Nothobranchius furzeri: one gene and its partner. The protein of the gene in region 1 purifies or fractionates together with the protein of each later gene. This does not show direct contact. Links are inferred from orthologs where the notes say so. Each region holds a gene or a part of one and is shown in the gene's direction. Other genes may lie near its edges.

Region 1 (5,365 bases):
TATAGCACTAAAGTATTTGTTCCAGTGTTGGAAACCTTAAGAAGCACTTACACTTCAGCAAGTTCATTGAGTGCTTGTTGATATTCAAGGAACTCCGCCTCTCCGAACACCTGAAACACACATTTAAAGTCCAATCAGTTTGCAATCCCACAGTTTCCACCTTCTGTTTCACAAGAGCACCTGCACCCACCCCGGTCCCATGGCGGGCGCTGTCATAACCTTCAAGTAAGCGGTCGATGAGAGCACTCCGGCTGCTCTTGATCAGAGAGTGGGAGTTGCGCAGCTCCACCAGCCAAATCCTGAAGCTGCGTCCAGTAAACGCAGTGGGACTGACGCTTATCTCCTGTAGAGGAATTCCTATAATCCAAACAGGAAGGAACCGGAATTAAAATGGGACGCAGGATCGATGTGAAATACACACACAGCTAATTAGATTGAAAAAAAAATAAACTTGTGATTGCATTTTTTATGCGCATATATGAATAAAAGTGTGTGTTGGGTTTCTCATACATTATTAGACAAGCGTTATAATTTCATCTCACCTGAGTCACGAATGGCATCCAGAGCTTTCATTCTGTACAGGTAATTGTAACAACCTGTGATAAACAATAGGGAAAATGTTACAAGAATTAAACTTTTTTTTTTTTTTTTTTTTTTTTTGCAGGAAACAAAACATGACTGACTGATCTGTGATCCTCGCTTGAGTCTGTCGTCCTCTTCTGATAACAGACGCGGTTCGAACCGGATCTCGTGGACCTTCGACAGCGTGGCGTCGATCTCTTCCCTCAAACCCTGCAAATACATTCATGTAAACATGCAATCGAGCTGTTCTAAAATTGACCTTTACCTTTGGTGCGTTGTGGCCGATGGGAGCATGGGGTCCACGGCGGGACCTCATGGCAAAACGCATGATTTGTCTTTTAACGAAGATAAACAGCAGAACAAACACCTGCAGACGCACAAGAGGAGTTAAAATGAAGTAAAACCACGTCGCTGCGTGGATATCGCATTTGTTTACTTACCAAGCTCCCATATGCCATGACCAAAACGACATTAACACCGGACAAAGGCGACGAGTCTGCCATGCTTTTTATTCACTTTATAAATCCAACACGCCTACATTATCTTAGCAAACAAGACTTTCACTATTTGTAATAATTCCCTCTCCTTCGCAACTCCTCTTCTTGATCGACACATGAAAATATTTGCAGTTAGCTAATGCTAGCTTAAAACTGACAATCAGCTGTGTAAAAATAGCGTTATGGTGCACGACCGTCCTCATGTGGTTGGAGTGTGAATTACAATACAAAAATCAACAAACACGATTTCTGGTGTAAAACTATATTTTTATTGCAAGTGAATTATTTTCGCTAAATGTGAATTCAAATTAATGTGTAATATTTTGTATCATTGTAAAATAAACACGAGAACGGGGTATATTTACAAGTAATGCTGTTAAACCAGTCTTGAGTTCTGTTTCTCTTGCTGTTCTCATGTAACATCAGTTTTGTTTTCAATATACTGTTTTTCATTTAACCTGTTTAACTTGTGCAGTTGTTTGAAACGCAGCTTAATCTTGAGCCGGAAACAAACTCATTTAAGAAATGTGACGAAGCAAGCTTTTTTTATTACTACCATCTAAGTCGTTATCTAATGTGTTTACAAATGATTTTATAGTTTAAATTTGTATTAAAGTTAATACATAATATAAACAAAATATTTTGTTCAAACTTTAAACAAAACAATTTGTTTATATTATTTATTAAGTCCTCATAAACATCATGATCATGGTCTAGCATTGTCAAAACTCAATGGTTTTAGTTCTGGATACTTGCGGAGCTGTGAAAGTTTTAATTTTGTGCTTTTTTTCCTGAGGGCAGAAAATATGGGATGTATTTCGGTTTTTCCTTCATGTTGTTGAGACATGCCTCAGCTCTGTTGATCATATCAAACTATATCAGAGCGGGTCACGTGGTGCGGGTCCGGTTTCCTCGAAGCGCTCTCCAAAACCACGTGACGCAGTTCTCCGTGGTGTCAGAGTGGAAAGGAAACAGGTAAATTCAGCGTCTCGTTTATTGTGTGAGCGAGTCGGCTCTTTTTTAATCATAATTTTCCTGAAATAGTTGCAACCACATTAAGTTTCGGGTTTATATATTGTCTTAAATCCAAAATAGAAAGTCGCCAACGGCTCTTGTCGGCCAGTTGTGTGGCTCTGCGATATTGAGCCGGGTTTTCTGGTCAGTATCGCCTGCTATTTATTTTCATTCTAGCGGCCTGCAGGCCTGCCCCCAGCCTCGGTGTTATCCAGGTCGACACTCCCAGAAACAGATGATACCGGGCCCACCCTGGCTTAGAGTGTTGCAATGTACGAGCTGCTAATTTGCTAACGTAGCTAAAGTTGCTCAGTTGTTCGGAACGACGTTATTTCGCTACTAGTTGTTAGCATCCAGCTTGTGTTTGCCGACCGTTATGGGCGTTCTGTAGTTTTACCCCTTCGAGTGTTAAAACTCCCCAGCATGTCACTGTTTGGTGAGCTAATTAACATGTTGTCTACTAAGCTAAGTCAGCTAACAGCTGCGTACGCAGCCAGGTTTCCGCACCGAGTTAGCTGGCTAGCTGTTAAAGTTAGCCTCGTTGTCGCCATGAGGTGAAGCCCAGAGAAGCGGAAGCCCACCAAGAGGCTTCAGAGCTGGATGTTTTCCTTTAAGGATTAGCCAGTGGCCTGCTTATTGACCATGCGGCTGGCTAGCAGAACCGGGAAATGTTCGACAGGGCCTGCGTTTGTTTTTAAGCTAGTCAAGGCTGAGGTTTTACGTAACCTGTACAAGATTAAGTTCTCACTTAACATTAGCAGGAATAACAGTTTGTTATTAACCAAGTTGTACGTGACTGATCTTGTGCTTGTGTCCAGCCCGTCAGATCTGATATAAACACAGCCTTGTTTGTGTTTGAAAGGCTCTGTGATCATATTTATTTGATGGGTGGGCTTGCTGAACATCACCTAGGTTTTTTTAGATGCAGAAATGTTACGTCATGTTCTGAGAGGTAAATAACTTATAGTCTCGTAAGCTTTTAATGGAGCTGCATCATCTGACTAATCCAGGTCATACAAAGGAACCAAAATGACATTTTCCTGTGAACCACTGCTTCCATCTTCAACATAAAGCAATAAACATCCTACTGAGGAAGTACTAATTAAATATAACAGTCATACAAATGTTCAAGTAGGTCATAACTATCCCTCTCATCTCGTTCTTCTCTCCTGCAGGTGTTATTTCTTTGTAAATACTGTTATTTGTATATACTGTAAATGATGACGTCCATGGGCGGGAACCGAGTCCGGGGCAGCTGGGAGCAGACACAAGGCCAGACACAGAGCCAGACACAGCACAAGCAGAGGCCTCAGGTACCTGCTCCACGCGTTCACGATTTACACCAATAGATTAATCCGGCCTTTTCTGATAAGCCCTCGCTTTGTTATGCAAACGCATCCCAACATTTGGGACTCATCGCTTGACTAATAAAACAAGTTTATCTAGAAATAAATAAGGCAGATATTAATAAACTTGCAGTAGATGCAAATACTGGATGTTTCCCTCTTCTCGCAGGCCACCGCAGAGCAGATAAGACTCGCGCAGATGATTTCAGACCACAACGATGCAGATTTTGAAGAAAAGGTTAAACAGGTGAGCAGACACGGACCTCATTAGGACTTATTTTTATTCTCATACCTTTGGATAATAAACCAAACACTTGAGTGGCTTTTATGACTTGAGTTATACGCTTGACTAACTATTCCGCTACAGGGAGAGATTTATTTATTCAGCAGGAAGTTGTGTCACAACATGCTCAAAGAAGTCAGGCTGGCAGCTTTAATCCTCCATGGCTGCTAGCTGACCTTTTCATTGAGAAGCAATACTTTTGTTTTAGTAAATTATACAGAAAGTTTGATTGTAGAGACAGTTTCTGATTGGAGGGTTCATTTTTTGGGGGAATTTTAGCTTATTATTGGCATAATGTGAAAATTTTTAACTTTCGGTACCCTATTTCAGTGTTTGACTCATCTATTGACTTTTTTTATTTGATGCATTGTTTTGCTCGTTTCCATAGTTCTGAGCATGTTTTAGTATAAATTCAAAAGCAGAAAAGCACTCCTGGGGTCACCTTAGCGTCTCATAGTTCGCCCCTCCTCTTGCAGCTGATTGACATCACTGGAAAGGACCAGGATGAGTCTATGATCGCGCTGCATGATTGCAACGGGGACGTCAACAGAGCCATTAATGTGTTGCTGGAGGGTAGCCCAGACACTGTGAGTAAATGCTTTGTCTCGGGGTAGATTGTGGAGAAATCTGTGCTAGTGAGGCGTGAAAAACTCCTTTAAGTCAAGCTAATCTAGTCCTGTCTCTTTAGTGACTACAACATGGTATTAATACAAGAAAAGTATTGTGTAAATATAAAAAAAACCTACGTTATTTTCTCAGAAATAAATTGTAACAAATGAAATTATTTTTTTGTTGGAGGTTTTTTTACAGCCACAGTCGGCTCTTACAAAGTTTTATGTGCCATCTGCAACAAATCGAGCATGTTTTATACTCCGCTTTCCTGTGTAAACGTCCGTTCACAACGGTATCCCATGATGCCACAGGTGGAAATGCTAGTTTGACGCTGTGTTTCTCTTCTTAAAGGACTCCTGGGAAATGGTGGGTAAGAAGAAAGGGGTGTCGGGTCAAAAGGAGACCAGCCAGGCAGAAACCGGAGAAGAAGGCAAGGAGAACAGAGAGAAAGGAGGAGAGAAAGATGCAGCACGTCGCCGAGGTGGAGCTTCGCGCAGGGGTCGCGGAGCAAGCAGGGGACGAGAGTGTGAGCCGTTACTGTCTGTTTGTGCCAAATGTAGTTTAGTCAGTTTTCCTATTAAATCTTTGATTCTTTTCTAAGGAGTTTATTTTTCTGAGGTTTGCAGAATTTTAATGTGAAGGTTTTTTGTTTTTGCTCTTTCTACCCGAAGTTCGTGGTCAGGAGAACGGCTTGGATGGAGGCAAAGCCGGGATAGCTGGAAGAGGGGCGGAGCGGGGTCGAAGGGGCCGAGGCAGAGGACGGGGAGCTGTCGGTAAGGGTTCGTTTTTACTCCCAGTTTGTCTGTGAGGTGATGCTTTTTTACATTTTTTGCAAGAATCAACAATAAGTTGGACTAAAAGTGACCGGAGCTCTAATTTTATCCACAGGAGTTTCCGGACGGAGAGGAGGCAGGTTTTCAGCGCAGGGCATGGGGTAAGGGAACACCTGTGTCGCCTAAATCCATAGGTCCTTTTGTTCCACTTTTACCTGTTGCCATGGTCACCAGAGAGCAGGACCCAAATCCATTGTT
Region 2 (5,128 bases), on another chromosome or scaffold:
GATGTTTTTTTTAATAATATATTCTACCTACAGAGATTTTTGTGTTATCTGAAATGCTTTTATTTCTATTTGTTCTCTTTTTATTTCTTAATAACTTGTCCCATGTAGTTTTGTATTCCACGTACTCCTGAGCTTTTCTGGTCCCAGTGTGTATTCACACCCATTATTGATGTGGAATTTATGACCTCCATATAAATACTCTGCTTGTTTTGTTAGTCATGTTGTTTACTTAAGCCGGTGTTCTGCTCTGGTCCAGATAGTCCAGGTTTCTGCAGAACTTAGGTTACACTTTCTGCTTTGGTTACTTTGAATTGTTCTTTGGTCTTCCATTTAGGATTTCTAAAGGTTTCTCTCCATGCAGCTGCTTCAGAACTCTTCCTCATCACAACTGCTTTTCACATTAAAATAATTAGTGAAGCCTCGAATTTGGTTGATCATTTTGCACCATCTCTGATCAGAACGCAAACGAAAAAGTCTTAAAAATTGTGATAAGAAAGCAAAGACAGGGATTAAACACTGTGTGTCAAGCTAAACTCTTTTTGACATTGTAATGTGATGTGAGTAATTAAAAGTTTGCACTGAACACTTATTTGTAACATCAGAAAATCCTGGCTGCATGAATTGAAGGTGTGTCTATGAAAATCGGCTTGAATGAGCCAATTCAACATGAGAACACGCTGTTCAGATCTGACTGCCATTTAAGGTTGTTCATGTCTTCAGTCTGTCTGTTCAACGTTGTTGCACTGAGAGGTTTCATTTTCCCTGGCTAAGGCTGCTCGTGGTCCCCTGGGAGACAGCAGAGGGAGATCCGGAGCACCCTGTTACCATCTCCACCCGCTCATCCAGACTCCAGCGTCAGGAATGTGAAACAACCCCAGGGCCCATGAAGCCTGAAGTCCCTCCTCTCTGCCACAGCAGGGAAAAAATAATGAGTTCATCATGCTGTTGAAGAGAAGGTTTGGTGATTTAACACATTAAAATCTCATTCAGGTCATAAAGTCATAGGTGTGGTTTTAAGGAGAATTTTAAGAATTTAACAAAAACTACGAAATAAAAAATAAAAAATACAGGTGAGTTAAACATTTGAAGTGGCACCTTTTAGATTTGATGTTTGAATTTTTTTTAAAGAACCATCATCTGTGTTCTGGCTAACTTTTTTAGGATTGTCAATAATTACAGCTGGATTAATTAGTGATTAATAGATAATAGCTGATTAGATAGATTTCTTTCCAGTTTCCATAAAAAAAGCACATTAGCAAAACATTTGTACTACACATGAATCTAATACTTAAGATATCATATGTGAGGAATGACTCTGGAGGATTTCTTTTCCAGCTCCACAATATTCAATTATTTCATTTTGAATTTCTTTTTTCCTAAATAATTATTACAAGTTATAAAAGTTTCTAAAAGGACAAATTTCCCAGGCAGTCTATTGACCCCTCCAAAGTTAACAGAGCTAAGAACAGAAACAAACTCAAGAAATAATAAAAAAAACAACAATTTTTTAATGAAAGAAACAAACTTAAAAAAATCACGTTATGACATTCACAATGAATATTATGACACAGAGAAGGGGGAATCTGAAGATTTCAGTACCAACATAAATATTGTTCAATCAATGTTGTCTCAAATGTTCCATGTTAGGTGTTTAAAAAGTTGTCCAAATATTTATACATTTGTAACTCTTTTGCTTTTCATTTTAGTTGACATAACGTCTGAATTGTTTTGTTTCGAGACAGAATCAGCATAAATCAGTCTAATCTCAGATAAAACGCGCTTGCATCAATCTTCCACAAATTACATTAGCTCAAATGTTGGCCAAACACTTTTGTCGCCTCCAAGTGGAGAAAATGTAACAGTGCATATTGACTACGGGAGACGCCAGTTCTTAAAACCATCGCACCTTAAACCGTTACTCAAACTTCCATTTTCATCCGGGATACTCCTTGGCGCTTTATTTAATTGGTTGCTGACTAAAACCTTAATCTTATTGGCCAGAGAAGCTCTGAGAGGCGGGACATCATGTTCAGTTGCGATTGCGAGGGTGAAACCACCGGTATCCGGGTACTCCAGCACGTTGTGAAGCCGCTAGTTAACAGGCAGCTGCTACGCTGGTTAAAAAAAGTCACATTATTTCAAAGCAACGTTTTCATTTTAATAGTTTGATCAGTTGGTGAGTTGTTTCGTTCCTATTTATGCTATCCTATTTTCGAAAAAGCAAATTTTCATTTCGCCGCGCTTATTTGATTAACTGGGTTGGCGTCCCGGTCTCCGTCTATTTTCTGGCCTTGCGATGATGTTAGCTGGTTTTGGCCATTGTAGCTAAGCTATTACATAGGTGTTATAACTGTGCAGTTCGCTTAATTATTAAATTATTTAAAACACAAGGCTGTTACTGAAAGTTTGAAATTGTAACTTATTTGAAAATAATTATTAATCCCCAAGTTTCGCTTTTGCTATTTCAGGAAATAGCCACCGCCCTTTCAGTCGTGACTCCCGTTTTCTTTCTTTACAATATTACTTTCCACATTTGGAATTGTATGATCGAACCGAATTTGGTAGTGTTTCGTTGGTTTTATTTGTGTATAAACTACCACCTTGGGTGTGTGGTCGCTAAAAGCGAAAGGTTAGACCAGGGACCGTGCGGGACACGTGCTGGGGCTCCTTCCGTAACCTAGCAGCAGACGGGTCTCTGTTCAGCTTTGAGGCCGTGAGCTGCTCCAGCTGTCGTTGTTCAGCTCCGTGGTGTGGCCGGGCGTCGTGCCATGTGTGCTCAGGTTATATCTGGTAACGGCCGCCGGACTGGCCTTTAGTCCCTGAGGCGAGCGGGGGCCTCCATGACTCCATCACGGCTGGCACGGCGTGGCCTTTGTCTGCTTACAGTTCGAGCACCTTTACTCAAGACCGTGACTTAAGATAATAAACACAAGTCCAAGCTTATCCTCTGCGCGCATCGTGGCCCGGTGGCACATTCTGATCTCGATGGATTGCTTTGCTTGTTTCTTTAACTCGGTTTCATTTCATGATGGATGGGATTTCGCTGGTTGTCTTTATGAGGATGCTCATTTCTGGTTCTGAATGATCTGATAGAAGAAGGATTAGACCGTAGCTTCTATGTGACTAACGTAAATTCTCAGGTTTGATTACCTGTTCTTTATTTGCCTCCTGCCTGAGCAGAAACAGGTTCTCTCACCAACTCATTCATCAAATGTTGCCATAATGTGCTGCATAACGCTAGGTGCCAAAATTATTGTTGCAGGATTGTTAAAAACTAAATGAAGACAATAGTTTTTGATGACTATTAGTTATCAATGTTTACATTAAAACATTTTACAGTTAAAAATATTGTCTTTGATCAGGAACCTGAGCTACAAGTTTTTATTTCATTTTTACAAATTGATGTAAATATATCAAGACTAATGATTTCACTCTCTGTAGTCTGTGGAAGTAGCTGCCTTATGAATTTCTCCACTGTCGGATTAATGAAGTTATTTTATTCTGATTCTTGGATCAAATCACCAGTTTCTTTGTCCCTACTTGGAATCACAGTCCGTCATTTTCTTTGTCAGTGACACTTTTCTTATTTGCAGAGATTTCCAGTTGACCAAAGAAATGGTGATGGAGAAGCCAAGTGCCCAGCTGGTCGGGCGAGAGTTTGTCCGACAGTATTACACACTCCTGAACCAGGCCCCCGACTACCTGCACAGGTACGGAAGTCAGCTGCTTGTGGAGGGTTTGATTTTGAAGTTTAAATGGTTTTATGATAAATTGTTAAATATTTGTACAAACAACTAGTTTGTCTTTTTGTTCAGGTTTTACGGAAAGAACTCCTCCTATGTGCATGGTGGCCTGGACAGCAACGGCAAACCAGTAGAGGCGGTTTATGGACAATCTGTAAGTGGGCTTCACCCAGTTAGAGGCATTTTCCAGCGGCAATACTTGGTGCAACTCGGGAGGGTTCGGTTTGGTCTGATTGCTTTTGTCCAACGGCGCGTTTTGGTATTTTTCCCCTGCTTTCCCTCTACTTTTCAGTCCCTCTGTTTTGGTTCCAAGAGCTGAACCGGTATTTCGACTGTCGGCCACTGATTGGCTAGGGGGCGGAGTCACTGGTTGCTCCAGAGCCTTCTGTCTGCTGTCTGAAACCATAAAACTGAAGAGTGTTCAACATCACCTTTATTTTTGTGCAGAGTTGTTTCTGTGGAGCATGCAGGTCACCTCACAGTGTGTACTGATGACCTTGTGCTATTTTTGTCGCGTAAAGATCCCTGCACAAGCAAATGCTGTGGTCCCCCCCATCCGCTATGAGGGGTGCACCCACTTTTTGTCTCTGAGCAGGCAAGGAAAGCCAAGTACTCTGTGGTGAGCCGAGTTAACCCACGCTGCACTGAGCTGTTTTAGCCTGAGTAGTGCTGTTGGAAAAGGCCTGTTAGGTGTGTCTCATAGTCTCATGAATCTAGAATGTGAAATATTCATGAATATATTTTCTTTTCAAGAGTCATTGTTACACACTTGTTTTTTTCTTCCAGAAACTAAGTTTTCTAGGTAGTTTAACATTCTGATGAATGTTTATCAGTACTTTCTGATTTATTAATCCTCACGTAAATTGTTTTATTCTAATGCTTGTTAAAATAACCATTATCGCTCTTGTCATGTAGTTGGATAATTGAGAAATGATTGATTGCTGTTAAATGCCCAAATTAAATCTTCAGTTCGTTAAATCTTTTGAATTTTTTTTTTATCAGGAGATCCATAAAAGAGTGATGGCTTTGAGTTTCCGAGACTGCCACACTAAGATCAGACATGTGGACGCTCACGCTACTCTGAACGAAGGCGTGGTGGTGCAGGTGATGGGCGAGCTGTCTAATAACATGCAGCCCATGAGGAAGTTCATGCAGACCTTCGTTCTGGCACCAGAGGTTGGTATTAGATTATTAATATATTTTTTTCATTGATCTGATCAGTTTATTCACATGCATGTTTTTCCAGGGTACGGTGGCAAATAAATTCTACGTCCACAACGACGTGTTTCGTTACCAAGACGAGGTGTTTGGTGACTCTGACTCTGAGCCTCCAGAAGGTGAGAAACTGTTTTGTTTTATGACCTAAACATTTTTCTCTCTGAAAT

The links. The genes of interacting proteins can lie anywhere in the genome.
Region 2: the proteins of ubap2l (region 1) and g3bp1 purify together in Homo sapiens (affinity purification with western blotting; 6 studies listed by BioGRID and IntAct, with this or other methods). This does not show direct contact. The link is inferred for Nothobranchius furzeri from reciprocal best matches to the Homo sapiens genes UBAP2L and G3BP1.

The regions. Positions count from the first base shown.
Region 1 is NC_091759.1:4,197,510-4,202,874, forward strand, and holds the start of ubap2l (ubiquitin-associated protein 2-like), read left to right. Parts: upstream 1-1,954; 5' UTR 1,955-2,054; intron 2,055-2,216; exon of another isoform or gene 2,217-2,237; intron 2,238-3,268; 5' UTR 3,269-3,310; coding exon 3,311-3,406; intron 3,407-3,608; coding exon 3,609-3,686; intron 3,687-4,198; coding exon 4,199-4,309; intron 4,310-4,685; coding exon 4,686-4,860; intron 4,861-5,005; coding exon 5,006-5,107; intron 5,108-5,222; coding exon 5,223-5,268; intron 5,269-5,365. Other genes in the region: protein C1orf43 homolog, read right to left, coding at 52-110, 191-357, 543-596, 684-792, 848-949, 1,023-1,085. UniProt on the Homo sapiens protein: Recruits the ubiquitination machinery to RNA polymerase II for polyubiquitination, removal and degradation, when the transcription-coupled nucleotide excision repair (TC-NER) machinery fails to resolve DNA damage.
Region 2 is NC_091741.1:69,282,727-69,287,854, reverse strand, and holds the start of g3bp1 (ras GTPase-activating protein-binding protein 1), read left to right. Parts: upstream 1-2,041; 5' UTR 2,042-2,176; intron 2,177-3,593; 5' UTR 3,594-3,615; coding exon 3,616-3,710; intron 3,711-3,815; coding exon 3,816-3,897; intron 3,898-4,745; coding exon 4,746-4,919; intron 4,920-4,989; coding exon 4,990-5,080; intron 5,081-5,128. UniProt on the Homo sapiens protein: Protein involved in various processes, such as stress granule formation and innate immunity. Plays an essential role in stress granule formation.